Caenorhabditis elegans: one gene and its partners. The protein of the gene in region 1 purifies or fractionates together with the protein of each later gene. This does not show direct contact. Each region holds a gene or a part of one and is shown in the gene's direction. Other genes may lie near its edges.

Region 1 (8,476 bases):
AAGTGATGATATTAGTGATAAAGGACAGCTTTTGTATGGATTGGACAGTGAATTTTATGTTGATAAGGCGCTGAAACCCACAAATGTCGAATTTCACGATAAAAATGACACGAAAAGCTTCAAAACTGGCGAATTTGTGTAAGTTTCGAGGAATTGAGCCCCACGTGGAAACTACAAACTACAAGTTTTGGGCGCTGCTCAAGCGATTTCCGCTGAAAAATCATAAAAATTCCCAAATTTTAACGAATTAAACAGAAAATTCCGTCGAAAAATGCGAAAAAACCGGCAATTTTGGTTAATTTTGAGCGAAAATGTGATTTTGGGCGCTGCTAAACTACAAACTACAAGTTTTGGGCGCTGCTAATTCAATTTTGGGCGCTGCTTAGAATACAAACTACAAGTTTTGGGCGCTGCTTAGACTACAAACTACAAGTTTTGGGCGCTGCTAACACTACAAACTACAAATTTTGGGCGCTGCTTAGACTACAAACTACAAGTTTTGGGCGCTGCTAATTCAATTTTGGGCGCTGCTTAGACTACAAACTACAAGTTTTGGGCGCTGCTAAACTACAAACTACAACTTTTGGGCGCTGCTAATTCAATTTTACGCGCTGCTAAACTACAAACTACAAGTTTTGGGCGCTGCTAACACTACAAACTACAACTTTTGGGCGCTGCTAATTCAATTTTGGGCGCTGCTAAACTACAAACTACAACTTTTGGGCGCTGCTAATTCAATTTTACGCGCTGCTAAACTACAAACTACAAGTTTTGGGCGCTGCTAACACTACAAACTACAACTTTTGGGCGCTGCTAATTCAATTTTGGGCGCTGCTAAACTACAAACTACAACTTTTGGGCGCTGCTAATTCAATTTTGGGCGCTGCTTAGACTACAAACTACAAGTTTTGGGCGCTGCTTAGACTACAAATTACAAGTTTTGGGCGCTGCTAACACTACAAACTACAAATTTTGGGCGCTGCTAAACTACAAACTACAACTTTTGGGCGCTGCTTAGACTACAAACTACAAGTTTTGGGCGCTGCTAATTCAATTTTGGGCGCTGCTTAGACTACAAACTACAAGTTTTGGGCGCTGCTAACACTACAAACTACAACTTTTGGGCGCTGCTAATTCAATTTTGGGCGCTGCTTAGACTACAAACTACAAGTTTTGGGCGCTGCTAATTCAATTTTGGGCGCTGCTTAGACTACAAACTACAAGTTTTGGGCGCTGCTAATTCAATTTTGGGCGCTGCTTAGACTACAAACTACAAGTTTTGGGCGCTGCTAAACTACAAACTACAAGTTTTGGGCGCTGCTAACACTACAAACTACAAGTTTTGGGCGCTGCTAATTCAATTTTGGGCGCTGCTAAACTACAAACTACAACTTTTGGGCGCTGCTCAAGGGAAAAATCAGTTTTTTTTTCTGAAAAGTATCGCCGAAAACTGAAAATCTCCAATTTTCTCCTCAAAAATTGCAATTTTCGCACTGAAATCTATGAAATCCCATAAAAAGATCTTAAAAAGACATTTTCTCATTGAAATTTGAGCTCAAAAATATACGAAAAATCGATAAATTTCAGAAAAAACACTAGCAATCGGGACATTTTGCTCCAAAAATTCCGTTTTCCGACAAAAATCCGGGGTTTTCAGCTTAAGAAGTGCGAAAAAAAAGAATGAAATTTACACTAAAATGCTTGATAAATAAGATTTTAGACCGAAATTTCCAAATTTTAGCTCAAAATTATGCGGAAATTCTGCATTTTTCGGTTAAAAATTCCCAAAATTAAAATTTTCAGCACAACACAGCGCTTCGGAGTAGCCACCACCACCACAAAATGCTCTGAAACCGACGATGAATTTCCACAAGGTTATCAAATCATTGGTGATGGAAATGTTCCATGTGCCACCACGTCAGAAGATGAGGATGACGTCATCACCACCGATAACTTTGATGACGTCACCACGAGCTCTGGATTATGGTGCAATTTCGTGATATCTCCGGATGATTTTGTGAGAAAAAATGATGTGGAAAAACTGGAAATTTCCGAGGAAAAATCGATGACAATACCGCTTGATGGTGACAAATTGGCACAGATATCCGCTGCAATGGCGAATTTTCAGTTGCCTACACCGCCCGGCTGGGAGGGTGTCAGCGATTCGAAAATATTGGAATTTGTTAGACAACGAGTCTGAAAACTGTGTGCTGAAAATCCAATAAAAATCACTTGTTTGCCGGGTTTTTGCTGAAATTTTTGTTAAAAATTGAGGGTTTTTAGCCCGAGAAATATTGATTTTCGCTTTATTTTTCAGGATTTTATTGTTTTTTCCTCGAAGCTATCGATTTTTCTGCAAATTTATCGATTTTTCTGCAAATTTATCGATTTTCTGGAAATTTGTCGAATTTTCTGCAATTTTATTGACTTTTCTGGAACTTTATCGATTTTTCTCTCATTTAATTGATTTTTCTGCAAATTTATCGATTTTTCTGCAAATTTATCGAGTTTTCTGGAAGTTTATCGATTTTTCTGAAAATTTATCGATTTTTTTTAAAAATTAATTGATTTTTTTTTTGCAAATTTATCGATTTTTTCTCAATTCTTTCATTTCTTCCTCGATTTCATCGCTTTTCCACCTATTTTCCCCTGTAAAACTCTCGATTCTCCAGGAAAATGAGCCCAACGAAGCGATATTCGAATGACGTCGACTGTGAGCTGGCAAAACGGAGCATTTGGCTTGTAAAAGTGCCCAGATATTTGTCAGAGCTCTGGGATGCCAACGAGGGAAATGTTGTTGGAAAATTGCAGATTGGAGCGCAGGTAAAATTGGAAAAAATATTGAAAATCCTGTTGAAAATGCTGAAAATGAAGTTTTTGGCCCAAAAATAGTGTGGAAAATCGGAAAAATCTGAAATTCTGGTCAAAAATGTGATTTTCAAAGGAAAAAACATCGATTAAATCATAAAAGATATGAAATTTGGGAAAAAATTCAAAAATAAGGTAGAACCGTCGTTTTTTGGACAGAAAAATACCTCAGGTTTTCAAATGAAAAAAATCTGAAAAATGTGGAAAACGGCATTTAATTTTCAATTTAATGACATTTTTCCTCGAAAATCTGAATTTTTGTCTCAAAAATTGACAAAAATCGATTTTTTGCCGGAAAAACTGGATAATTCCACTGAAAATTTGACATTTAACCAATTTTTCTGTGTTTTACATAAAAATGCACTGAAGAAGAACCAAGAAATTCGAAATTCTACTGAAAATGCGGAAAAATTCGAAATTATTTTAAGAAAATTAAATTTTAACTGCTTTTTTAAACTCAAAATTTGAAATTTTCTGCTAAAAATTCAATTTTGATCAAAAAAGCCTGAATTTCTCACCGAAAAATGAAATTTTCTGAAAAAATTGAAAAAAAAAATACACCAGAAGCTTAGAAAATCGATTTTTCAATGAAATTTTCAGTGGAATTAATTGTTTTTCGGTTGAAAATCGATTTTTCAAGTTAAAACGCTAGTTTTACAGTGAAAAATGCTCATTTTTAGAGTTTTTTCACGGGAAAAATGCTTAAATTAGGACATTTTTCTCCGAAAACTGAATTTTTGGTTTAAAAATTTAAATTTCAGGTCGAGCTTCACACCGCCAAAGGTCTCATTCATCCCAAACCAAAAGAGCCCACAGAGGGCTCATCATCTACAGTAACCCAACCAGAAGCCTCGGAAATTCCAACAGAATACTCATTTATTCTTCATGACGTCAAATCTCAAACAATGAGCGTTTTATCCGAAGATAAGCAGGGACTCGGTGCAGATGCTCCAATCAAAACTGGAAAACTGGCAATTGAGGGACGAATTATCAAAAAAGCGGAATGTCGGCCACCGGCCACGTCGAAATATATGAAAATGAAGTTGGCACATATTGTGAAAAATACTCAACCAAAGAAAACGGTTAAAATGATTGAAAAAGCGGCTGTGAAGTTTAAGCCCGTGTCTGTACATGCTGAAGATATGATTAAGAGCAAACAGAAGAAGGATGGAGCTAAAACTTATCGAGCTGATAGAGATGTGCTCCGTGGAGCTCTTTTCAAAGCTTTTGAGAAGCATAGTTTTTATAGGTAAAATACTCGAGAAAACTACGGAAAATTTGTGTTGTTTTGGCCTTTTTCACTGCAACTTTTTCCTCACGAGGGACGAGGAAAAGTGGTTTCTAGGCCATGGCCGAGGGGAAGACAAATTTCAGCGGCCATTTATCTTGCTTTGTTTTCCGCCTGTTTTCTTTCGTTTTTCATCGATTTTTTTCGTTTTTTCTTAATAAAACTGATAAATAAATATTTTTTGCAGATGCCAAAACGATTTCCAAGTAAAAAAAAGTGTATTCAGTGGGCAAGCAGCGGTGAAAGTGGGCATTGTAATATGATGGATTACGGGAATACAAAACCTAAACTTTTTCTTAAACATTATACATATGCTGCTTAGATGCTGAAGCTACCTGATTTTCATAACGAGACCGCTGAAAAAGTTTTGAGGTTTCCAAAATTCAACTTTTTGTGCGAAAATCTCGACTTTTTCACCAAAAAAGTTGAATTTTGAAAACCCTAAAACTTTTTCAGCGGTTTCGTTATGAAAATCAGGTAATTTCAGCATCTAAGCATCATATGTATCATGTTTCAGAAAAAGTTTAGGTTTTGTATTCCCGTAATCCATCATTTTACATTGACCATTTTCACCACTGCTTGCCGACTGAATACATAATTTTTTTACTTGGAAATTGTTTTAGCATCTGCAAAAAGTATTTATTTATCAGTTTTATTAAGAAAAAACGGGAAAAGGCTGTGAAAAACGAAAGAAAACAGGCGGAAAACAAAGCAAGATAAATGGCCGCTGAAACTTGTCGGCCCCTCGGCCATGGCCTAGAAACCACTTTTCCTCGTCCCTCGTGAGGAAAAAGTTGCAGTGAATTTTTTGAAAGTTTTAATAATGGTGTAGTCGAATTATTTTTATCGCCTTATTAGACTCAAAATTGTCTAAAAACACCGAATTTCATAATGAAACTTCTTGAAATCTTTTCAGAAAAGAGTTATGACGGCTCAAAAAATGGTCTAAAATTCGTTAAAATCGGAAATTTGACTTGTCAAGCGGCTCAAAACTATTTTTTTTTGAAATCACCGTCAAATTTTAAGTTTACAAGTTGATCATCTTGCGTTTTGAACTTGATTAAGGTATTTAAAAATCGATAGACGGCGAGATTTTTAATTTTTTCAAACCCAAACTCGCCGTCTATCGATTTTTAAATACCTTAATCAAGTTCAAAACGCAAGATAATCAACTTGTGAACTTAAAATTTGACGGTGATTTCAAAAACAAATAGTTTTGAGCCGCTTGACAAGTCAAATTTCCGATTTTAACTAATTTTAGACCATTTTTTGAGCCGTCATAACTCTTTTCTGAAAAGTTTTCAAGAAGTTTCATTATGAAATTCGGTGTTTTTAGACAATTTTGAGTCTAATAAGGCGATTAAAAAAGTCGACTACACCACCTTTAATGTGGTTTTCCCACAAAAAACTACTGGAAATTTGCAGTATTTTGAGCTGATAACGAATTTTTGGGCGCTGCTTAGACAACAAAAACTACAGTTTATTTCATTAAAAACTGGTAAAAATTCTGGAAATTCGAATAGAAACCGATTTTTAAAGTAAATTTTGCCAGAAATCCACAAAAAAATGGCAAAAATCGGATAAAATCTGAATTCGAAGATTTTGGGCACTGCTAAAGCTACAAACTACAAGTTTTGGGCGCTGCCAATGAATTTTGATGCCGAGAATTTGAATTTCTGTTGAAAAAATGAGTAAAAATCTACATTTTTGAAGGTTCATGGTTTTTCACCAAAAAAAACTGCAGAAAACACCGATTTTTAAACAAAATCTCACCGAAAAATATTAAAAATTGGCGGAAATCGGTTAAAATCGGTTCAAGATCCGAATTTTTACATTTTGGGCGCTGCTTAGACTACAAACTACAAGTTTGGGCGCTGCTAATTCCATTTTGGGCGCTGCTTAGACTACAAACTACAAGTTTTGGGCGCTGCTGATCCGAATTTTTTGCAATTTTGGGCGATTTTTCAATTAAAAATGGAAGAAAATCTATATTTTCATTCAAAAAGTGTCAAAATTTTACGTTTTACTCATTTTTAAAGGGATTTTTACAGATTTTCCCAAGAAAAACTGAAAAAAATAGGCAAAAATTGACGAAATTCCACGTATTTTGCACCTTTCGTTGAGTTTTTTTAGGAAATTCTACACACAAAAAACTGTAAAAATTGGGTGTTATTTTGGTATCAATCGATTAAAAACTGCATTTCAACGTTTTGGGCGCTGCTTAGACTACAAACTACAAGTTTTTGGGCGCTGCTAACTACATGAAACCTCGTTTTTTTGCCAAAATTTCCAAAGTTTTTTCAAAAATCGCACATTTTCGCTAGAAATTTCCGATTTTCAAGCCGAAATATGCGAAAATAATGAAAAATCACACATTTCTAGTGTATTTTTTGGAATTTTTAACGAGAAACACACTAGTTTCCTCCAAAATTTCTAACTTCTTAGAATTCTGTGCATTTTCGATGAAATTTCGGATTTTTTGGCTGGCCGCTGCTTAGACTACAAAAACTACAATTTCTCGCATTTCAGACTTCAAGATCTTCAGCAACTCCTTCAACAACCGGTCAGCTACGTCAAAGAAGTGCTCCAAGAGATTGCCGTCTACAATACTGCTCCACCGCACAAGTCTCTGTGGTGCCTGAAACCGGAATACTGTAACTACAAAGTCAACGCACAATCGGAATAATTCCAACTTTTTTTTGGACATTATTATTATTATTTATTTACTATACATCTCTTCTTTTTTAAAAACATGATGAACACTTGTGAATATTGGGGATTTTTGAATTTTTTTTTTTTTGGATTTCTTCGTTGATTTTGGGTTATTTAGCCCAGTTTTCTATTTATTATCAGATTTTTTTTCGTTTTTTTTCGAGAAAAATAGGAAAAAAAAATTGATTTTTTACTTCTTTTTTTTTCAGAATGGTCAAATTTCAAATCGAAAAAAAGACGCTTCTGGGCCGCTTGGGCAAAATCGACACATGGGGCTCCGTGGAGGTTAACCACCAGACCCCATCCTTTCAAACCTACCTACGAGCCGGACATATTCCCCACCTGACATGGGAAGTTGCTGAGAATCAGCTGAAACTCGAACAAACCCACATTTTTCAAATGACGCTCCCAACGCTGGTGTCAAACGCGAAAATTATCGAGAAATTCGGAAAAGGCGCTGCGAAATTTTGTGGGATGCCTGCAGGCGCGGCGGTTCACCTGACACCGTTTGACCCGCTTGGAAAGCTTCCCGGAGGGTATAATGACTCGAAATCCGTCGCGATTTGGACGGCAAACGGAAAAGTTTCGTTGGATGTTAAAATGTGGCGGGAAATTATTAACTCGTTTGGTTGTGGCTCTATTGAGACTCTTGTCGACTATGATACACCGAAAGATGTTGGACAGAAGAAGCTTGTTAAGGCGGTGGATAGGACGAAAACCTTCCAAGAGCAGCTGTTTCAGCAGGTAGCGAAAAAATCAATTAAAAATTTGAATTTTTCAGGGGAAAAAATGAATGAAAAGCTACATTTTAGCATGAAAATGACTTTTTTTGTGAAAAACTGGTGAAAATTTGGTGAAAATCGGTTGAAACCTGGATTTTTTTCATTTTGGCGCTGCTAAGACTACAAACTACACAATTTTGGGCGCTGCTAATTCAATTTTGGGCGCTGCTTAGACTACAAACTACAATTTTTGGGCGCTGTTAATTCAATTTTGGGCGCTGCTAAGACTACAAACTACAATTTTTTGGGCGCTGCTAATTCAATTTTGGGCGCTGCTAAAGCTACAAACTACAATTTTTGGGCGCTGCTAATTCAATTTTGGGCGCTGCTAAAGCTACAAACTACAAGTTTTGGGCGCTGCTAATTCAATTTTGGGCGCTGCTAAGACTACAAACTACACAATTTTGGGCGCTGCTAATTCAATTTTGGGCGCTGCTTAGACTACAAACTACAATTTTTGGGCGCTGCTAATTCAATTTTGGGCGCTGCTAAAGCTACAAACTACAATTTTCTCGATTTTGAACTGAAAAATGACTTTTTTCCAGCTTTTTTGAAAGTTTTCACAACTTTTCTCCGAAAAAATTGCAAAATAATCGGTGTAAAAGCCTGAATTTTACCAGTTTGGGCGCTGCTTAGACTACAAAAACTACAACTTTTTTGTGTAAAAATCTAAATTTATTGCGATTTTCATAGTTTTTACACCAAATTTTCGCAAATTTTCTAGGACGAAAAAGTGAATGGAGAACGAATTGTGTCGCTGGGCGGTGGTTTCAGCAAGTATCATCGGAGGAAATGTGCAGTTGACGTTGGATTGGCTGAAAATATT
Region 2 (6,736 bases), on another chromosome or scaffold:
AACCAAATTTTATTTTTCATTTTCAACATTTTTATTCCAAAAAACCGAGTTTTCTCATCCTTATCGAAAGGCTTCAGGCTTGGCACCGCGCCAACTCCGAAATGTGCGTGAAAAAGTGTGCGAATTAGTTGAAAAATGGCGATTTTCGTTGGTGTCACAGGTTCGCCGGTGATATTCAGTAGAGTATGGCCAAAAAGTGAATCCAGACTGACGATTCGTCGAGTTTGCGCTTTTTTCGGAGGCATTCTGGAAGAAATTGAGGTTAAAATGCATTTAAATGAGGGAAAACGGGTTTTGAAAAGCGCGCGCGCGCCAAAAAGTTGTCTGTGGCGCATTTGAACGAATTTTCTGAGAAAAATCATGGAAAATACATTTTATTTAGCAATGTATCTGAATTTTTGCCAAAAAATCGAGAAAATGTGTTTTTTATGCGACAAATGAAAATACACTTTATTCGGCAAATTATTGATTATTTGCGCAAAAAACACTGAAAAATCGAACAAAAATTGAGAAAAAACCAGAAAACAGGGATTCGGGCCTAAATTCATCGGAAAATGTGTTACTGGACGGTTTTTTTCGCGCGAAAATGATGGAAAATGCAATTTATCTGACAAATTATTGATTTTCTCCGAAAAAAATACACTGAACAATAGGGAAAACGGAAATTTTCGACTTCAAAATAAAATAAAAACAAAACAAATTAAATTTTGTTTTCCGAGAGACCGCTCTTCAGCACACACATCGAGAGAGACGCAGAGAATCGGGTACGGTAGCGCGGTGGGTCTCGCCACGACATTTTTTGTCATTCAAATTTTTTTTTGTGTGTTTTAAAATTTTTTCATGCGCAAATCCACGCATTTCTCACTTTAAAACGCGTTTTTCAATAAAAAATGACTTCAATCGCCGTAGAAGAATTATTTGGAAGAAATTTAGAAACGAGCCGTGCACCGAATCCTTGGCCAGCGCCGAGCACACAAGAAACTGAGCCATTTGAAATGTTCGGTAAAGGAGCTGGATCCTTTTTTGACGGTATTTATTTGAAGCTAAAAATTTATTTTTTTAAATCTTTTTATTTCATTTTTCAGACAAGCCGTCCTCCGACTCGGAAGACCAAAAAGATGTGAAAAAAGCTAATCAAGCGGCCCGTGACTCGTATTATGGAGCCTATTCCTACGCAACTCAAGATTTCTCATCGTCACGTGGATTGTCGAGAGATATGGAGCAACTGAAGTCTCCCGCCAAATCTGAAAGTAATGGCACTTTGAGATCGGAGCATCAATGGCGTGATAAGAGACGAGAAAACCACCGACGTCCATTGAAGGAACACCATCGAAGAAACGAAACTCGCAGGGATTACAGATGTATGCGGCACCTCACGAACTCCAAAATTCGCGGGAATTCGTTTCGCGGGGACAGCAGTTTTTGGCTGTTTTTGGCTTCTATAGGAAATTATTTTTGATTTTTTGTTTTATAATATTCTTGAGAAGCATCATCCGAATTTAAAATGTGTGAAATTATGAAATTTGACCGAAAACTGAAGGTTTTACAGGAAGGATTCGCTACGGCTTTCTTTAAAATGTATCAGAATCGTCAGTTTTTCGATTTCAGTCGTAAAATATGCCATTTTGTAGAGAAAAGTCTGTTTCACAAAAATCCATGTTTGACATTTCAAAATTGTTTTTATTTAAAACCTGAAAAATCGAAAAAATAAGCTTTTAAAGGTGGAGTAGCGCCAGTGGGGAAATTGCTTTAAAACACGCATATGGTACCACAATGACCGAATATCATGATAAAAATTTTTTCTAGATTTTATATGATTTTTTGAAAATTGAAAAAATCTCAGTTTTGCCTAATTCCTATTTGAATTACCGCCAATTGGATTTGTTCGATGGAGCGCGCTTGCACGTTTTTATTTTTATTTATTGTTATTTTTTCTTATTTTTCACCGACTTTTCATGTTTTCAGTGTATTTTTGTCTGAAATTTGAAGAAAAAGTCAAAATAAATGCTATTTTTTGAAATTAATTAATTCGGGTTCGAAATCGCTTAAATGCATTTTTTTAATTTAACGCCTGTAAGCGTGCTGTTTAATCGAAAATTAGCATTTATTTTGACTTTTTCTTCAAATTTCAGACAAAAATACACTGAAAACATGAAAAGTCGGTGAAAAATAAGAAAAAATAACAATAAATAAAAATAAAAACGTGCAAGCGCGCTCCATCGAACAAATCCAATTGGCGGTAATTCAAATAGGAATTAGGCAAAACTGAGATTTTTTCAATTTTCAAAAAATCATATAAAATCTAGAAAAAATTTTTATCATGATATTCGGTCATTGTGGTACCATATGCGTGTTTTAAAGCAATTTCCCCACTGGCGCTACTCCACCTTTAAAAGCTTATTTTTTCGATTTTTCAGGTTTTAAATAAAAACAATTTTGAAATGTCAAACATGGATTTTTGTGAAACAGACTTTTCTCTACAAAATGGCATATTTTACGACTGAAATCGAAAAACTGACGATTCTGATACATTTTAAAGAAAGCCGTAGCGAATCCTTCCTGTAAAACCTTCAGTTTTCGGTCAAATTTCATAATTTCACACATTTTAAATTCGGATGATGCTTCTCAAGAATATTATAAAACAAAAAAATAAAAATAATTTCCTATAGAAGCCAAAAACTGCTGTCCCCGCGAAACGAGTTCCCGCGAATTCTGGAGTTCGTGAGGTGCCGCGAGAGATCGCGTTCTAATAATTATGAACAATTTTTTTGTTAATTTCAGCCATTTCAGCCGTCGAAACAGTCCACGAAACTATAAAAATCGAGTCTCGCCGCACCGTGGCCTGCGAAGGAAATGTCTATTTCGAAGAAACGAACGTCATTCAATTTCCCAAAAATCTGCCGCCCAACGTACACGTGATCACCGCCGCCCAATATGGATCGAATTAAATGTTTATTTATAAATATTCGTTTTTTTTTTTGTTTTTTGTTTTATTATGAAAGTCTAGTGAAAAGAACTAGCTGTTTTATAAATTTATATGTCTCCCCTCTGGCTCCTCTCCTGTGTCTGCATATTGTCGTGAATTTCGCTGTATTTGCGTACTTTTTCTCCCCCGGTTTTCTTCCTTTTTTTTCGTATTTTAGACGAATTTTCAATTTTCCAAAAGAAATGGCGACGAAAGAGCGAAAACGACGCGGAAAATGGGATACCTACAAAGCAGAAGAAGCTCCATCATTGTATTCTGGAAATGCTGACAAGGAAACTAGTTCTGGTAACGCGGGGCTCTTTTCCTGGAAATTTTCGAATTAAAAAATTAAATTTTTAGTTCCAAAAGCTGCCTCGCACAATTTGAACGGAGAAAATGCGTCGTCAGTGATGACTGATGAGTTTGGAGCCAAAGATTATCGAAAGGATATGCCATTGAAAGTATGGAGAAGCTCTAAAAATTCGAAAAAATGGTCTGACAAGCTTGAAAAACCCAGAAAAATGGCAATTTTTACAATTTTTTGGCAAAAAAACCCTAATTTTCATGATTTTTTCACCCAATTTTCAGTAAATTAACGATTTTTCCCCCGAAATATCGAAAATTTGGTTAATTTCCAGGGAAAATCGTAAAAATTACTTTATTCTAAAATAATTTCGGTCTGAAAAATGTAAAAAGTTACGAATTTTTGCTATTTTTTTTTGTTTTTTTCGGTCAAAAAATCGTTAAAAAACACTTTTTTTCGAGTTTTTCAACCCAAATTGGCAAATTTTAATTGAAAATTCACAATTTTCAGGGTGATTTCACTGCAAGACCGCTGTGGGTTGCTCCGGATGGTCATATTTTCCTCGAGTCGTTCAGCCCGGTTTACAAGCACGCCAGGGACTTTTTAATTGCAATTTCAGAGGTTATTAACGTCTTTTTTCAGTTAATTCTGAAAAAAATTCATTTAAAAAAATTTGATTCATCTGAAAAGATTTATTTGTAAAAATTATGTTTGGCCAATTTTTTTTTGATTTTTTAATTTTTTTTTCCGTAAAAAATTCCAAATTAGTGCTTTTCAGGTCAATTTTAGAGGTTCAGCACTTTTTTTTCATGGAAAATGACTGAAAATTTGAGCCTAAAATTAACAAATATTAAATTTTTCCAAAAAAAAAAAATCGAAATTCTGATTTTTCAATTTTTCGATTATCTCTTACACATATTGCCAGAATTGAAAATTTCCGACAAATCGTCAAAGTGTCGGGATTTAAATTTTCCGGCAAATCGGCAACTTGCCGGAATTGAAAATTTCCGGCAAATCGGCAAATTGCCGGTATTGAAAGTTTCCGGCAAATCTGCAAATTGCCAGAATTGAAAGTTTCCGGCAAATCGACAAATTGCCGGAGTTTAAAATTCCGGCAAATCGGCAAATTGCCGGATTTGAAATTTTCCGGCAAATCTGCAAATTGCCAGAATTGAAAGTTTCCGGCAAATCGACAAATTGGTGGAATTGAAATTTTCCGGCAAATCTGCAAATTGGTGGAATTGAAATTTTTTGGCAAATCGGCAAATTGCCGGAATTGAAAGTTTCCGGCAAATTGACAAATTGCCGGAGTTTAAAATTCCGGCAAATCGGCAAATTGCCGGAATTGAACGTGTCTTGTAAATAGCTGATTTGCCGAATTTGACATTTCCGGCAAATCGTCAAAGTGCCGGATTTAAAAAGTCCGGCAAATTGCAGAATTTATCGAGAAAAAAATTTGCCGAACTGCAATCGCCACCCATCCCTGCTACATATTCCAATTTTCAGCCCGTCTGCCGTCCACAACACATCCACGAATACCAGCTAACTGCCTATTCTCTCTACGCAGCTGTATCAGTTGGCCTACAAACAAAAGATATCATTGAATACCTGGAACGATTAAGTAAAAGTCAACTGCCAAAAGGAGTCATCACATTCGTTCAAATGTGCACTGTGAGCTACGGAAAGGTTAAGCTTGTGCTCAAGCATAACAGATACTTTGTCGAATCGCGACATTCCGATGTTATGCAGAAGCTTCTCAAGGACTCTGTGATCCAGTCGTGTATTCTAGATGATCGTGTGCAACCTGCTCAGCAAACCGAGCTTCCTGCACAGGAAAAAATCAAATTCTCACATGGAAATGAGAATGAGAAGGGTGTGGAAAAGGATGGAGCAGCAGCAGACGGTACGGCGGCGGCGGCGACAGATGGAAAAGTTCCAGCTGATATTGATGAATTCTACGGGAAAATCGATGGAGATGATGAGGAAGACGCAGAGATTCGAAATTTGCAACTTCTAACGTTTGAGATCAAACAAGAAACGATCGAAACAGTGCAAAAACGATGTATCGAGCTTGAGTATCCACTGCTCGCCGAGTACGACTTCAGAAATGACACTTTGAATCCGAACCTTGGAATTGATCTGAAACCATCGACTACACTTCGTCCGTACCAGGAGAAATCCCTACGGAAAATGTTTGGAAATAGTCGTGCGAGAAGTGGTGTGATTGTTCTGCCGTGTGGAGCCGGAAAGACGCTTGTCGGAGTGACTGCTGTGACGACGGTTAACAAGAGATGTTTAGTGTTGGCGAATTCCAATGTTTCTGTCGAACAGTGGAGGGCTCAGTTTAAGCTTTGGAGCACGATTCAGGATAAACAGCTTGTCAGGTTTACTAGAGAGGCGAAGGATCCAGCACCGTCGGGAGCCGATGCGACCAAGGTTGGAGTGGAAGGAGTGGAAAAATAATGAAGAATTTTAGAGGAAAATCTGAAAAAAATTGAAAAATTTTCGACTTTTAGATTTTCTGAAAAATCGAAAAATTAACCATAAAAAATAATTGATGAGAAAAAAATTAAAATTTTTTCAAAAAATGAAGAAAATTTCGAGCTAATTTTTGAAAAATCGAGAATTTTCGATTTTTCGATTTTTGAATAATCGGGAATTTTCGATTTTCAATTTTTTGAAAAATCGGGAATTTTCGATTTTTCAATTTTTTGAAAAATCGAGAATTTTCTATTTTTCGATTTTTTGAATAATCGGGAATTTTCGATTTTTCAATTTTTTGAAAAATCGAGAATTTTCGATTTTTCGATTTCAATTTTTTGAAAAATCGAAAAACCGACACCCTTGGTCAGAGTGCCTCATTTCGGTTTGGTCTACGTAGATCTACAAAAAATGCGGCAGAGTTCTCAACCGATTTCGCATGGTTAACAACGTGTGCTTACGTCACATTTTTTGGGCAAAAAATTCCCGCATTTTTTGTAGATCAAACCGTAATTGGACAGCCTGCCACCACGTGAAAATCGAAAAATTGGAAATCGAAAAAGGAAAATTTTTAGATTTTTTTTTTCCAAAAATCGAAAATTTTTGTTTTTCGATGTTTTTGAGAAAAATCGAAAAATTTGAAATCGAAAAACGAAAATTTTCGAATTTTTAAAAACCGAAAAACGAAAATTTTCGAATTTTTAAAAACCGAAAAACGAAAATTTTTAGATTTTTTTTTCCAAATATCGAAAATTTTTGTTTTTCGATTTTTTCGATGTTTTTGAGAAAAAATCGAAAAATTTGAAATCGAAAAACGATAAATTTTAGATTTTTTGATTTTCTGAAAAATCGAAAAAAAAAGTTCAGAAACTATAAAATATGATTTTTTTCAAAAATCTAATTTTGTTCTTTGATGAGAAAAATAATAAATATTTATTCTAAAAAATAAGAACAATGCCTAAAATTTCAAGCAATTTTTGAAAAAT
Region 3 (8,318 bases), on another chromosome or scaffold:
GATCGTGATCGTAGCCACAGAGACGTTAGAAGCAGCGGAAGAAGCAAGGATATAAAAGCGTCTTCATCACATCGTAGAGATCGTGACGACGCTAGAAGAAAGGATAGAAGGCGTGATGATGTAAGGAAAAAAGAAAGGCGAGAGAAAAGAGAGGAAGAAGATGATGATCAGTAAGTTGAATTTAAAGTTTCCTCCTTTCTACATGAAAATTTTCAGAAAAACCAAGGATGCTGAGTCGAAGGACGAAGATGAGATCGACATCGACGGTATCATTGCTGAATATGGTAACGTCCAGGCACAAGACACAGATGGAGATGCACAAGTTGCTGATGAGAATGCACAGAACGATGAAGATTCAACTTCTCCGAAAGAAGAGAGCGTGTCTCCAAAACCTGATGAAACTCACGAGGAAGATGCTGACGAGGAACCAGTTGACGAAGAAATGGACACAGAAGTAGTTGTACGTGACAAGTCAATTGATCCCGTATATCAAGCAATGGAGACGAGTGAAGCTGAAGTGGCGGAGACAAAAGAGGAATCAGTACCAGTTGAGGAAGATGAGGAACCTGAAAATCACGATGAAGATGTGGAAGATCACAAAAAAGAGAAAGAATCACAATCGTCTACTATTAATACAGCAGATGAAGATGACGAAAGTTCCAAGAAAATGAAGAAACACAAAAAAAGTAAAAAGAACAAGAAACATCATCGGAAAGAGGAAGACGGTGATGAGGATGAGGAACGAAAACGGAAGAAGCACAAGAAGCACAAAAAAGAGAAAAAGTCAAAGAAGGAGAAGAGAGATGAGGATGAGGATGATCTTGATACCGAAAAGAAAGAAAAAAAGAAGGAAAGAAAGTATCAGGATGATAAAGATGAGGATTCTAATAGAAAAGAGCCAAGATCTCTAGATGATGAGGACAAAGTGGAGTTGGACAAAAATTTTGCTGACAAAAAAGAAAAGAAGAAAGGAAAATGGAATGAGGATGAAGAGGACATCTTCGAGGATAGAAAAGAGGAGCTTCCTAAGGAATCCGATCGGAGAGACAGGAAAGACCGTAGACATGATGATGAGGATGATCGTAAGGAACGTCGGCATGAAAGAGATTCTCAAAAAATTGATGAGCAAGATAGAAAGAAAGAGAGAAAGCGAGATCGAGAGACCGAGGCATATGACAGTGATGTAAGTTTTGGTTTATTCTTATTTTTAGATTAGTTGTTTTAATTGTTGATTGTTTTGAGGAAAAATTTAGCAATCAGAAATCATCTTCCGGGTTTAGGAAAAATGAACAAATTTTTATAGAAATTGCAGGCCCCCAAGACAAAGGTGAAGCGTGAAGACAAGAAGCGTGACGATCGGAAAGATTATGAACGGGACAGGGAACGCAGGAAGGATGACTATGAAAAGGAGAAGAGTAAAAGAAAGGAGAGTGATCGGGATAATGAAAAAGAGAAACAACGCGAGAAGGAAGTGGAAAAGGAACACGAGAAGGATCGCAAAGAGAAGCGGAAAATCGTTGAGAAAGAGTCTGAGAAACCACGAAAATCGGTTCATGAGCGTATGCAGAAAGCTGACTCATCCACTTCTTCAAGCTCTAGAACTACTACTGCTCCATCACTTGAACGAAAACCTGTCTCGTTTACTGTTGCTTCGAGCAAACCAACGACAAACATCAGAGTTCGTCAATACTCGTCCTCATCATCAACCAAGGAACAAGAAGATGAAGAAGTACGTTTTATTCACAAATATTTCACTAAAATTCAATTAATCAAAAAATATATAATTTAAAAATTTTAGCGGTCGAAGCGGGATCGCCGGAAGAAGGACGAAACTGACGTGGAGAGCATTGGGGAAAAGGAGAAGGTAATTTTTGTTGTTTTTGAAGAATTTTAATCTTAGATATTTCAGAAATCTTCGTCTCGAAAAGTTCCAAAGGAGAGTGTAGATGTCAAACACAAGAGTACCAAGATTAAATTTGATCTTTTGTAATCATTTTTGTATCTATATTTGAGTTATTAATTATGTTCCATCCTATTATTCGTTTTTCTCATATTCCCCCCTATTTTTCTAGTTCTTCTTAGAGGGAACCACATCTACTGTGACTTTGATTCTCTTTTTTCACCATTATTTTTTTTTTCTAAAAACGCTTCCATTTTTATTCATTTTTCGTCCCATCTGTGGAATTATTCTGTTTTTTTTTCACTTTTCTTGTTCCTGTTGGAATAAAAATTCCGTTTTATTTTTACTCTATTTTTACCTTTTTTCTTATTTTTATCCCAAAATTTCTCGGTCCTGAATTTGCCGCAAATAATATCAGAATGGCTAATTTTACAGATTCGATTTCAAAAAAAGCGCCGAAATTAACCTTTTGGTAATAAAATCGAAAATTGAAAAAAAAGTTTTGGAGAGAATGCGTACATATGTATTTTAGATGATGAACACAAAATTGTTGAAAAATTTTACTTTTAAATAACATTTAATAATTCAATAACAGTCGAATTTGATATCTTAATTGAAAAGATATAAATATTCTTTTCCAGATGGATATTAAATTTGAAGGAAACGATGCCGAGTGCACAGCTGGCCTGAAAAAGGCCAGTGAAGGAAGTTTTGTATTGAAAGATCACGTTCTGATAGAATTCAAAATCAACGGAAAAGTGGCGGGAAAGATAAAGACACCATGTGAGGGTGTAGTTACTTTTGGAAAAGGTCTTAAACCAGGAATCGTATTGAATAAGGTAAATTGAAATTATTTATTCAATTGAAACTGTTTTCATTTTCAGGGTCAAGTGATTGCTACAGTATCCGAATGTACTCATGCAATTGTTATCAAAGATATGTGTGCAACATGTGGTAAAGATCTACGTGAAAAGGGAGGACGAGCCGGTCAGAGAAAGGAACAATCAACGGCTAATGTATCTATGATTCATCATGTTCCAGAACTTATTGTGTCGGATACGGTTAGCATCATTTTTATTACCCGGATGCGGCGATTTTTTCAATAAAAATACGGTAACCGGTCTCGCAAAACGTTGTGCGCCTTTAAATAGCTAATGCAGAATTTTCATCGTTTTTCGAAAGTTAATTAAAACTTTAAAATAAAGCAAGTTTAAACTATTTTTAAGTAAAGTATACGATTTTGAGAAAAATAGAAAACTTCATGAAAATCCCATAATATTACAGTTCTTTTTAAAGACGAACATATTTTTGCATTTATCAAAAATTGTCGTGTTGAGACCGTGAACCGCATTTTTGGCTCAAAAATTCGCCTACTAGGCAAATAATATTTCGATAAAAAACTTTTTTTTCAGCTAGCAAAAGAGATTGGATCAGCCGATGAAAACAATCTGATCACCAATAGAAAACTCGTATTGCTTGTTGATTTGGATCAGACAATTATTCACACTTCCGACAAACCAATGACTGTGGATACTGAAAATGTAAGAATCAATAGTTTTGACGAAAAAAAAGTTTTTTTTCAGTTTTTCTCAGAGAAAACTGAAAAATTGAAAAAAAATGTTCCGAAAATTAGCAAAAAATTAAAACACAAATTTAACGAATTTTGGTCGTGTCGATGAAAACAAATAATTTCAAACAACCATATAATTTTCTTCTAGAAAAAAAATGGCCAAAATGTAAAGCCATTTTTCGAAAAAAAAAACACTTTTCAGAAAATTAATAAAGATTTCAAAAAAAATTTCTCATCGAGCTTCTATGTAAATGATAAAGTTAGAAAAGCATAATTTTCTTATCGTAATAAGAAAAATCGACAAAAACTTTAAATTATTTTCCGAGAAACCTTTTTTCTAATTTAATTTTGGTACAAAAAAATTGTGTTTTTTGATTTTCTAAAATTATCGAAAAATTGTCACTCTTGATAGGAATACTCATATATTTTCTATAAATTTCAGCACAAAGACATCACCAAATATAACCTTCACTCTCGTGTTTATACCACTAAACTCCGACCACATACAACAGAATTCTTGAATAAAATGTCAAATATGTATGAAATGCACATTGTTACCTATGGACAACGTCAATATGCTCATCGTATTGCTCAGATTCTTGATCCAGATGCTCGACTCTTTGAACAACGCATTTTGTCTCGAGATGAACTATTCTCGGCTCAACACAAGACCAATAATTTGAAGGTATAATTTTTAAAAATTAAAAATAAAAATAATTTCAAACTCCAATGGAGTTTGCCCAAAATTCGCAAAAATCACGAAAAAAGCGAAAAACTAAAAACTATAATTTTAAAGTCATTTAAAAGTTTTTTACAAATTCTTCGTTTTTTTGCTCTTTAATATAAAAAAACGGAAAGTACATTTTTTGTCAAAAAAAAACACCATTTTTTTTAAAGCGAAAAACAAGAAATCTTCAGCCCTGAAAACATGAAACTCGTAGAAAATATTAATCGATCAGAATTGTGATGAATGAAAAATGAGTTTTCATCAATTTTTCGACTGTTAATGAAAATTTCAAATTTTTAAAAAGTGTTACCATGAAATTTGGTTTTTTTTTAACATCATAGAATAAGTGTTAAACACAACAATTTTTATTCAGGCTCTATTCCCATGTGGCGACAATCTTGTAGTGATTATTGATGATCGATCAGATGTCTGGATGTATTCTGAAGCACTTATTCAAATCAAACCTTATCGATTCTTCAAAGAAGTCGGCGACATTAATGCTCCAAAAAACTCAAAAGAACAAATGCCAGTTCAAATTGAAGATGATGCTCATGAGGATAAGGTTCTTGAAGAAATTGAGCGAGTTTTAACGAATATTCATGATAAATATTATGAAAAGCACGATTTAAGAGGATCCGAGGAAGTGTTGCTTGATGTAAAGGTAAATTTTCATTTTAAATATTTAGTTATTGAATTATTATTCTAAGTTGAATATTTAAGTCTTTTGGACTTCTAGAAGTTGATTTTCAGGAAGTGATCAAAGAGGAACGACACAAAGTTCTTGATGGATGTGTCATTGTTTTTTCGGGAATCGTACCAATGGGTGAAAAGCTTGAAAGAACTGATATTTATCGTTTGTGTACTCAATTTGGAGCAGTTATTGTACCAGATGTGACTGATGATGTTACTCATGTTGTTGGAGCAAGATATGGAACACAGTTAGTTTTATCATTTTAGCATTTTAAAATTCTTTTATTTTCAGAAAAGTTTATCAAGCCAATCGTCTCAATAAGTTTGTGGTCACAGTTCAATGGGTATATGCTTGTGTCGAAAAGTGGCTTAAAGCAGATGAAAATCTGTTTCAACTAACAAAAGAAAGTACTCCTCCAGTTGGACGTCCACTTGGATCAAAGTATGTCAATGATTTGGCAAATATGGACACAATTGGGAAAGCCGCGTTAGCTGATATGAATAATGAAGTAGATGAAGCTCTATCGGATGATGAAGACGATGGAGACAATGAGGATGAGGATGATGATGGGAATGATGTTGGAGAAGATAAGGGAGATGAAAATTTAGAAGAGAAACAAGAGAAAAATGAAGAAGAAATGGATGATGTTGAGCAGAATGGATCTGTTGAGAATCAATCAGGAGATGCTTTGGAAAACGAGACAGATTCTACATCAAGGGGACAGAAAAGAAAGCATTGTCCTGAAATGGAGGACGAGGAAGAGGTAAGAAACTTGAAAATAATTTATTCCAATAATATTTATTTCAGGAATCAGATTCTGATAATGAGGATGACGATACCCCTATGTCGTACAAAGCACTTTTGTCAGATTCACGCAAAAAAGGTCGAATTGTTCCAGAAAACGAGGATGATGCAGTATTTGATGTTGATGATGAGGTAAAAAGGGCGGCAAGTATAAAAAATTGAAAATAAAACGGAAAGTTTTGAATTTATAGTGGCTAAAATTAATAGTAGTGAATTTTTTGAAAAAAGTTAAATTTTGGCTTCTTGAGCTTAAAAATATCAATCCAAATCGTTCCAGTGTCTAGAATTTATCGAAAAATACGACATTTTATCGATATTAAACAAAAATTCAAAGAAACACGTGAATCATTATTCCTGCTTGGGAGATCAAAAGTGTTTTGAAAAAAAAAGACTTTTACAGAAAGGCCACGCACCAGCTAATATAGATGAAGAAGAAGATGACGAAGACAATGAAGATGAGGAAGTACCGGAATCTGATGATGACGATGAGTTCGAGGATATGGCTGCATTGATCGAACGTCAGATTAGCGATGCAGTAGATGAAAAAGATCAATGAGTTTTCTGTGAAATCATCATGTGCTATTATTGTTTTCATTTCCTATTATTCTTTCAGTTGTTTCCCATCTTTTACATCTCATAATTATCACCCCCGTTCCCCATTTGATTCGATACTCAATGTTTTCTGTACTATTTACCTCCATTTAAATGGGAATAATCTGACAATTAATGTCGGCTGCTTGATCAGAGTGATTTTCATCAAATCAATCAAAACTTCACTAGAAGCCTGCATTTTTGTCATATATAAACGTTCACGGTTTGGAATATAGATTGCTTTTTATTCACTTATCTTTTGCCTTTTGATTGTAAATTCAAGAAAAGTCTGTCACTATGGAGTTATTCATCTTTCGATTGCTTACTTAAATACCTCTATTTTCATTTTATCGAATTAATTTTTTTTTCTAAATCGCGTCATTGTCTCATTTCTTCTCTCGTTTCACGTTGATCGTTATTATTTTTTTCTGAAAATGAATGAGATTCATTTCTATTTTTCTTGCTGACGCTTTCGCAATGCCGTTTGATTCGGAAGTATGATTTATTTTTTTCGAATTATAGGATTAATGTATAGTATTTGTTACGCGAGACCAAAAAAAGTTTCATGTAACAAATGTAGTACAATGTTTACATTTCCACAAAAATCAATAATTTACAATTTGTATACAATTCAATGTGGTCTTATATTACACAATCAATCGTTTCAACAACACGTTTTGCCGAACTGGATTTTTATCGATCTTTTACTATTTCCTTATTATTAAAAGTTATTAAAAGCTATATATTCGCAAAAAGTTTTGAAAAAAATTGGTAGAGTGATTAGCTATTGAAAAAACTTATTTCATTTCCTTTTAGTGACTAGTTTATTTACCATTGCAGTGAAAGTTTATGAAAAAAGTATTTACTTTTCTCTTTTGAAAAGAAATATTTTCTCGCATTTTTTGTCTATAGAGCATTTTTGCACACACGCGCACTAAGCGCCTTTTTTGTATGTATTTTCAGCGGTTTTTATCGATTTACTCATTGTCAAGAATCTTTTCAGTTTGAAGCCTATCTCAAAGCCAGAATGGATTTCAATCGAGATGCCGGCAATGAGACAGCCAGTCAGCTTCAACTCAATATTCAGAATTTAAATCAACAAGGTTTGCACGAAATTTTTTATTAAAAAAAACACGTTGTACACTAAATTTCGTTTCAGTTATTCAATTGGAATCCTTTATCACAAATCTATCAGATAGCAGTGAATCAGGACAAAGAGAACGGGAGCTTTTCAATCGCGTTAGTTATTACTCTCTATTAATTAATATTACATTAAAATATTTCAGAAAGCTCATAATGCTCAGGAACTCTCGAAGGAAACCAATGCCCTGCTGAAAAGATTAGTTGTGATGAGCAACTCTGATGTGAGTTTCAGTATAAATTTTTATATTAAACTTTGGTGAAGGCAAAATTTTTCAATGAATTTATATTTTAAAAAAATTATCCTAAGGTTTTAAAATTTTATAACATTCAAAAATAAATCATAAAATCACACGATTTTTGTTAAATAAAAAAAACTTAAAAAAATAATTTGAAATAATCTTATTATCAAAATATATAAACTGGCATGTGTAAAGTGGCTTATTTTTTATTTTGTTTTTTATTCAAGCTCCTCCCATTCCTGACCTTTCGTTAAAGTTTGTATTTATTAGTTCATTTTAAAAAAATGGGAGGAGCTTAAATAAAAAACAAAATAAAAAATAAGCCACGTTTCACATGACAGTTTATATATTTTGATAATAAGTGGCCTATTCAAGTAGTATCGGAAAATTAAAAAGTGTAGAAAATGACGTCACAACTATATTAAAATACATGTTTTTGTATGTATTTGATTACAGTTGTGGCGCCATTTGTCTACAATTTTCCGACTCTACTTGAATAACCTCATAAATCAATTTTTAAATCCGAAATTTAAATTTTCTGAAAATTGATTTCAAACTCATTTTGTATTGATATTCATATGAAAATAGGAAATACACGTTTGGGAGAGATGTCTTTGAAGGAATATTTTATTATAGTATTATCAACAACATTA
Region 4 (7,939 bases), 6.0 Mb from region 1:
AGAAGGAAGAAGTGAAGCGGAAGACTACGAAACAATCAGTGAAAGATTTTGGTTGGAAAAGAGCTTCACAAGGGCTTACTCATCACTTATGCAGCTACCATTTCCTTGGGAAAACAGCGAGGTTTCAAACTCAGAATTTTAAATTTGATGACCTTGAGAAAAGGACACACTTACCGGTTTTAAATCTGCAGTTGCTAAATGTACAGAGGACTTGCAAACCAAAAATTGTGAACTCTAATTTCTGTTTGTTTTTTTCGTTTTCGAAATTTTTTAATACTTCGAACTTTTTGAAGATTGCTTACCTGCGAGTTTTTATCATGCTTTTCAAGTTTGCCGCTTGAAGTGATATGACAAAGAAAAACGTTGCAGGCTGGGTTACGCGCGATTTAAATTTCAGCTGTCATTCTTAAACTTTACATATTCTGGCAAGGTATTTATATATTAAAAGACCAATTCGCCTAATTCTACTTGAGAGTATTCACTGTGGAGCTACAAAAAAATTCCAAAAGTAAATAAAGTTGTCGAAAAACGGTTTTTAAAAATTTGCAAAGAGATTCATTTGAATCTGTTTATGTTGTTCAGAAATATCCGAATCTTTAAAACAACTTTTCTCAAATTAAAAAACAAATGATTGTTTTTTCCCTTGCAAAATTGCAACAATGAACGCCATTACGTGACTTTTTGCGAAGAAACATGACTTTTTGCTAATTCACATAAAAATTTCAATGAATATTTTCTAGTTTAAAAAATAATCGTATCTTGCAAGGTTTTATCAGGCTATATTATAACAATTATGATTTCTCTTTCAAATCTTGATATTAAAGTTCTTGTCAGCAATCATCACAACATATTATAGTTACAATAATCAATTGATCATGCATTAAAAAACTCACCTCCTTATTTTTTTCCAATTTTAACAATAGTTTTGGAAAAGGAGACCAGCAAATTGGTTCGGTTGGCGCCGAAAAAACAAAGGCAGAGTTAGCGTTGGAACGTGTCAATTGTGTGTGCAGAGAGTATGAATATCGGAACCAAATAATAACAAATTCAATTGCTTGGCACCACAACCATGACGTGTAGAATAGGTTTTAGTTGTTGAGACGAGAAGAAGCACCGAACGAACGATTTTGCATATTTGACCTTGTTACCTCTCCTTATGGGAAAAGGAAATTCAATGAGTGGGACAACAAGTAGGGAATAAAAGAGCTCCCGATTTCATGAATAAAACCGAACAGAATGTGACAAATTGTAGGTCTCACGGAGTCGAACGGAAAACAGGAAAGAGCGCGAATATAGGCGTGCAAAGATTTCAGAGATGCATTACGTTTTCCGCCGTTTCATTAAACGAATGGGAGTCAAAAACTGAAAGATTGGTATCATCTCATCGATGAAATTGACAGAAAATATTCCACACGAGTAAGCTTCCCAAAACTAGAAATAGTTACTATATTTTACATTCTGATAATAGATTTTCCAATTAAAATTTTAATAATTTATTCTTTATTGATTACATTACTCAAAAACATAATTATCCCCGACCACGAGAGCTTTTTAAAACTTTGACCAAGCCGGACTGCTTATCAACTGCCGACCGGCAATTCTACAAAATCAGCTAGTGATGCTCTCTCTTTAATTAAAATTAGTAGTTTTAAAAGAAAGAAAAAATGTTTTCACCATCTGAAAATAACGTTTGTTTGATTTGGAACAACTGAAAAAGAACTCAAAAAACTAAGTAAGTAGGTTTTTTCCTGCAATTTTCAGCTTTTACACAATTTTGAGCACTTCTTCAGTTGTTTCAAATGAAACAAACTATATTTTCAGATAACGAAACAATTGTTTATACCTATGTTGTACTTTTTTGATTTTTTTACCAATAGGAATGCGTAAAGCATTTTTTTAAAGAAAAAGTCAGTCTAAAATCACAAAAAATTGAAAACTTCAATGAGGAATGATCTTTCGAATTTTATGAATTTTATGTTCGTTGATGTTTTCTTCTCAAAACTGATTTCTTAACTGTCTTATGTTCAAATCGAACACATCCAGACGTGTTCCTTATTCAACTAATCGTCATTATCCAGTTTCAGCAATGAAGTGTAATAGAGGGTGAAAAAGGCAACATCTTCGACCCGGTTATCATCATCAGCAACCCTCTTGTTTCTTTATCACCTCTATTTCTTCATTTGCCAGTGTAATGCACTTTTTCATCGATGGGCCACCGCCGACGGATCACGGCATCCGTGGCATGCATTCCTATCTCTTCAAGGATTCCCTTCCTCTTTCCACCCGCCAATAATCAACAACTTAATTTCTATTCAGACCGTACCTGTTGTTCACCTCATCCCGATTGATCTTGTCGCCAATTATCATTTTGTTTAGTTGTGTGTTGGGGAGATGGCTATACCTGAGAATTTGAATATTATGAGGGCAATGATAACGAAGAAAGGAACACATATGGAAAAAGATATAAAATACATTGAATATGGGAGGAGGAATAATTATAATAGACGAAGATTGCATCGAGGTCTTGAAATTTTGATTTTAGTTATTCAAATTTCAAAATAACAGCCATCATTTTGTCGGTTTTTCTAAGAAATGGTCTACATAGTTAAAGGTCTATTGTTTAAATAAACATTGATACTCATTTTTAATTTAATATACAAAAGTTGGAGTTTCAAAATTACAAGATTAAACAGTGGACATGGACGAAAATTGCAATCCGTGCTCATTACACTTGAAAAGCTTTTTTGAAACTTATATTAGTAAAAAGCTAGGTCCCGTACACCATTTGTAGGTGCAAATTATCTCAACTCAAATCAATCACAGGGAAAATCTTTTCGTACAGACATGAATTTTGTTCATTAAATTTGAGCCTACACCCTTTTTCTGATTGTAGCTCCCAAATGACGTGTGTGAACAAATTAAACCCTAGAACTCTGTACCATATTAGTTACAAAAAAATACTCGTTAGAATTGTCAATATGATTTTAGGCTTCTATTTGCTTCAAAAGGTCAAAATTCTATCACGTGCTTCTCAAGTCTGACCCAGAATATCTTAAAACTCTTGCTGATATCGTATCGTTTCCGCCTAGGTAAATCCACTCTCGATTTTTTATTCAAAGGATCACATCACAATGAAAAACCCTCGCACATTCTCAATATCCAATCATTAGACGGAAAAATGTGGAAAAATGCCGAAAAAATCCAGTTAGCCATGTAAATCGCGAAGGTTGATGATGCATCAAACAAGCGGACAACATTGCAAAAACTCGATTTTTTTCTCGCTTTTCCCTCAACCCATTTTATCGTTATCGACACCAGTCTCCTCATTGCGAGTGCCTCCGCCCTCCGGATGACTATTTCGGCCCCTTTCCCCCATCTTTTTGTCGACTATCCACAAATGTACAAATACATGAGATTAGATGCGTACCTTTCATCAAATTTATCCGTGATTATAACTTTTGTCGTTTTCTTTTTACTTTTTCTTATCACTTGTCCGTTCATGGAATTGGATATGAACGTACACATTTGTATTACGCAACAATATATTCTACATGTACCCGTTCCATAAGTGGTGATTATTTAGAGAAATTGTCTAGAATCTAGAACTATTAGTCACGCCTTACTGACCAGATTTAAGATACTAATGAATAAATGTGAAAGTGGTTTGATTTATTGGCATGTTTATGCCATTCACACGTCATTTCGATTTTCCCTATAAATTTGTATTCTTTTTACTATTTTCTCACATACTTATTTTTTGCTTATTTATATTTTCTGATTCCTACCCAATTTCAGAAGACATGAACCGGTGCATCTTGCTCGCTCTCTTACCCCTTATTTCAGCGATTCCAGTTGCTGTTAATATAGATGATCAAGACGTAAGTTTTTTGTTTTAGTGGTTGAAAAATAAATAGAGAATTAATTATAGGCAGTGAATTTGGGAGCTTACGATCGAGCACGATTTGATCTCGTAGAAAGTTTCCACCCTCTTCAGCCAGCTTCTGCAGTTACAAGTAAGTGAAATGTTTGCCTGGTGGAATCAATAGATATAAATTGTTTTACAATTATTTTTGAAAATAGATTATTGAAAGCATGGCACTAATGAAAAATTTAGTCTGCCGGCTGTGATAATTAATCACTTTACCGTATGCTGACACTGTAGGCAAACATTTTTACTTTCAATTTTTAGGAGAATGTCTCTAGAATACCTAGCGAGCTTTATGTAGGCACAAAATTTGTTTCTGTTTTTCAGGATAGGTTTATCACAAAATTTAAGGTATTCATTCATGTTGTTTAGTAACATTCGTTAGCGGCTAATTTTATTTTAGAAAAACTAGGAGAATGTAAAAAAACACAAAAACACCGGAAAATAAAAGATTAGGAAACTAACTTACTTACAAGGGGAATATGATATGAAATTGGCGCGGAGGGAAAGCTACTAGTTCTCAAATCATTTGAAAGTAACTCGACACCTACCTGAAGCTAAGGGACACGCTGGCTAATTGTGAACAAATATTGTTCAAAAAATTCAGTCTCATACAATTGTTTGTCAGCTTTTACTTGTTAAAAATATTGGCATGGGATTTAGTTTTCGGAGAAAGAAACACAAATAACCCATTTTGTTGAATCGTTTATTTAAGATGCCGAACACTTTTTGAAATCTTCGAGACTGTAATTATTTGATAATATGTAAACGGTCAAAATGTTTGATTTGGTTAAAAATGAACATTTTGGTGTTTATCTTAATTTTTATAAAGGCATATTATTTGCGACATATCTAGTTTTCTAATATTTCCAAGTTCCTGAAAAATGAACTGTTCTGAACGAAAAAATATTCTTAAAGGTAGATATATTGTTAAAAACAACTGCTATGATGCTAAAACGACCATTATAGCAAAACTTCCATATATCATATGAAAACTTTCCAAAAAATTTTTTTAAACATTTTTATTGACAGTCAAAAAGTGGTAATTAGTGAGTTTTCGCTACTTTTTGATAAAGTTTAAGCATTATCAAAATTTTGAATCCCTTCATTGCTTGGATATTAATATTTCAAACATAAGTAGACTGTATGTAGAATTCGAAGGAAAATTTTTGATTGACGAAATTCAAAAAACAAATGGCAAAAATTGAGATCTTCCCAATTTTTTAAAGTTTTTTGAATTTTTTATTATTATGATAGTTGATTATGGTGGTGCCACACTTCTCCATCTTTAAAATTTCAGTGCTGAACAATTCTTTAAAATTCACAGATTTCTCTAGAGTCTTTAGAGCAGAAAATAATTTGAGAAAGCACTGACGTATTATTGTCAAATGTTTGTCAATATTTTTACAGCCATAGAAAAATGTTTTAAAATCTTTAATAATGAAAAAATAAATAGTAAATTGATTTTATAAAATAGTGTGAAATTTTCAGACGATCAAATTGCTGAAGTGCGTGCCAAAGCAGCTGGTGTGAGGCAAAACGAAGCTTCAATTTCAATTGACTTGCCAACACAAATGCTTTCCGGGAGTTCGGGAAGAATTCCAGAAAGTAAGCCACTAATTGACATTTCTCTAACACGTGTGACCATATCGGAGAATAGAAAACAACAAAAATCAAGAATTATCACATAGCTGTGTGAGCTGCTCGGACATGGCTCCGTGAGAATAAGCGCGAAAGTCGTAGAAATAGACACGTTTTAACAAAATTACTCTATCGGTTAAAGAAAGCTTTGGAGCAGGGCGTCTAAACAAAGAAAGAAGGAATGGAGAAGAAGTAGGCGGCTTTGGAAAAATAATAGAGAAAAGGACGAATATTTTAAAATATTATGAGACAAACTAGGGGCGCAGGGGCAACATTCTGAATTTTTGATTGAAATTTGACGACTACTCGGAATTATCTATTAAATGATCTTCTATTAGTTATTTAAAGGATTAGTTGTTATTTTTGACATTAAAAAAAATAATCCAATTTTTAGTTTAAGAACTTGGAGAAGACTACAAGTCAAAAAAAATCGGGAAAGAATCTGCAGGGTGTGTCCTCACAGAAGATTGTTGTTAATTAGTAATCTTGAACTTTAAAATTTAAGGATTCAACCGAATCAATTTTGAAATTTTGAGACTTTTTGAAGATGGATTTTTTTGTAAGTTTGTATTATAAATCAGCAAAATCAGATTGGAAATATGTTGAAGTTTTTTTGCAACTATTTTAAAAAAATTTGAGTGGAAACTAACTGAAAAATAAGAAAAATAATTAAAGCTTATACTAATAAAAATAAAAAAAAAAAACCAAAACCTTATTTTCTGTTTAAAGTTTATCAAAATTAGGCGAATTTTATTGAATTTAGCCGAGAATTACAGACAAATTTAAAAATGAAATAATATTTTGAAACCTACTTTGGGTATTTTGAAGTTTTTATCCCAAAAAAAGAGACTTAATTTAACTTTAAGAAAAAATCACGATTTGAAATGGAATCAACGAACAGCTCTTTGGCTTCTCTATATTGAAAATTGTAGTTAACAATTTTCCGAAAACGGGATTCGTATTTATCAGAATCATATTTCTTATGATTTAGTATAATTTCTTGGAATTTACTATCAAGAAGAATACAAACACTTTATAAAATATTTATGACAGAACTGAAAGACGCATATAATATGAGATATAAAAAGAGCTAAACATGAAAGATGTATCCACTAGTAGCATCGTGTCTAATTCGATTCGATTTGCAAGTTTCAATATTTTGTTGTTGATTCCCTTGAGAGATTTGAGAGAGTCTATCACATTAGAACATTAATCTGTTCTTATCTCTTTTTCTCTTAAAATAATCACTTTTCAGGATTGGCGTTCGGAGAATGGACTGAGTGGACTTCATGGTCAATGTGCCAAAATGGAGAGAGATCAAGAGTTCGTACATGTGTTTCCAGAAAACCAGCTCTTCGTGTTGTATGCCACGGAGATGCTATTGAGGTGAGATTTTCCTTTTATATAAAATTATTCAGTGATAAGTTCATTGAAATTAGGTGGTTAACCAAAAAAGTTTTCCGCGGATCATATTTCTCCGAGTTTATACAATCTGAAGAGCAATTTTTGATGAGAAGCTTCATTTTTTTGTTGGTTTTTTGTAATAAATTTTTTTTGCAATAATTTAAAATCTGAATTATTTTCAACACGGAAGAAATTGATTTCAATTAATGTTTTTACAGATTGAGAAATGCTACGTTGACGCCGGAGAAGGTCATATTCCAGTTGCCGCCGACCCATGGTCCATCGAACGTGAGATTAGCGGAGATTTTGCCTAAATCCGAACAATTTCCGAAGAGAGGAGCACAGAGACCTCTTATTTAATAATTCATTCATTTTCTCACAGTCAGTTCTCGAATTGTATGCACTAATTGTTATTTTCGTTTTCCAATTCAATCTAATAATAATTTATTTATTTATTGTTTTTTTTTTTGACACTGCAAGAGAGGTCTCAAATGGGACCTACAGGAAAAATTGAATCGGTATTAATTTTTCAAATGCTCATTAATGGGAATAACACAATAATGACAATTATGAGAATTTTATTATTAATTTGAATTCACAAATTGTTATTGAAAATTTATAAGTTTTGTTGAAATATACTCACTATCAAAATAGTAAAAACAGAGAAAATTAAGGCATTTGTCATGTTTGAACCCCTAAAATGCTTAGGTACAATATTAGAACATGCTTCAACTATTTTTAAAAATTCAAAAATGTTCGAGCAGTTTTAATATTAAAAACAATGCAACATTAAGCAAATTTTTAGAATAATTTCTCCCCACTACTCCACGTTAAATTTAAAGTGAAATTTCAAAATTTGACTCAAATAAATGAAACTCCTACATTTAATTTTAGAAAGATCATAATTGTTTGAACGAAGTTCAAATTTTTCAAAACATTTATTTTCAAATTTCAGAAAATAATAATTTG

The links.
Region 2: the proteins of gtf-2F2 (region 1) and xpb-1 fractionate together in Caenorhabditis elegans (co-fractionation; one large-scale study listed by BioGRID). This does not show direct contact.
Region 3: the proteins of gtf-2F2 (region 1) and fcp-1 fractionate together in Caenorhabditis elegans (co-fractionation; one large-scale study listed by BioGRID). This does not show direct contact.
Region 4: the proteins of gtf-2F2 (region 1) and F15B9.8 fractionate together in Caenorhabditis elegans (co-fractionation; one large-scale study listed by BioGRID). This does not show direct contact.

What each region holds. Positions count from the first base shown.
Region 1 is NC_003283.11:18,991,268-18,999,743, forward strand, and holds gtf-2F2 (General transcription factor IIF subunit 2), read left to right. Parts: upstream 1-2,672; 5' UTR 2,673-2,676; coding exon 2,677-2,823; intron 2,824-3,629; coding exon 3,630-4,117; intron 4,118-6,685; coding exon 6,686-6,842; 3' UTR 6,843-6,933; downstream 6,934-8,476. Other genes in the region: Y39B6A.37 (Structural protein), read left to right, coding at 1-138, 1,804-2,200; tgt-2 (Queuine tRNA-ribosyltransferase accessory subunit 2), read left to right, coding at 7,079-7,612, 8,375-8,476.
Region 2 is NC_003281.10:11,523,514-11,530,249, forward strand, and holds the start of xpb-1 (General transcription and DNA repair factor IIH helicase/translocase subunit XPB), read left to right. Parts: upstream 1-3,143; 5' UTR 3,144-3,168; coding exon 3,169-3,271; intron 3,272-3,325; coding exon 3,326-3,426; intron 3,427-3,779; coding exon 3,780-3,890; intron 3,891-4,775; coding exon 4,776-5,705; intron 5,706-6,736. Other genes in the region: such-1 (Suppressor of spindle checkpoint defect 1), read right to left, coding at 46-245; Y66D12A.16 (Spen family transcriptional repressor), read left to right, coding at 891-1,029, 1,086-1,361, 2,782-2,948.
Region 3 is NC_003279.8:9,002,932-9,011,249, reverse strand, and holds fcp-1 (RNA polymerase II subunit A C-terminal domain phosphatase), read left to right. Parts: upstream 1-2,541; coding exon 2,542-2,739; intron 2,740-2,784; coding exon 2,785-2,961; intron 2,962-3,312; coding exon 3,313-3,441; intron 3,442-3,912; coding exon 3,913-4,155; intron 4,156-4,570; coding exon 4,571-4,858; intron 4,859-4,947; coding exon 4,948-5,135; intron 5,136-5,179; coding exon 5,180-5,651; intron 5,652-5,695; coding exon 5,696-5,824; intron 5,825-6,092; coding exon 6,093-6,248; 3' UTR 6,249-6,737; downstream 6,738-8,318. Other genes in the region: rbpl-1 (E3 ubiquitin-protein ligase RBBP6), read left to right, coding at 1-170, 217-1,183, 1,304-1,729, 1,799-1,864, 1,910-1,990; syx-7 (t-SNARE coiled-coil homology domain-containing protein), read left to right, coding at 7,311-7,386, 7,443-7,522, 7,570-7,647. UniProt on the Caenorhabditis elegans protein: During the late stages of oogenesis, dephosphorylates 'Ser-5' of the heptad repeats YSPTSPS in the C-terminal domain of the largest RNA polymerase II subunit ama-1.
Region 4 is NC_003283.11:12,984,761-12,992,699, forward strand, and holds F15B9.8 (Beta/gamma crystallin 'Greek key' domain-containing protein), read left to right. Parts: upstream 1-3,795; 5' UTR 3,796-3,800; coding exon 3,801-3,878; intron 3,879-3,928; coding exon 3,929-4,013; intron 4,014-5,416; coding exon 5,417-5,533; intron 5,534-6,821; coding exon 6,822-6,952; intron 6,953-7,188; coding exon 7,189-7,284; 3' UTR 7,285-7,424; downstream 7,425-7,939.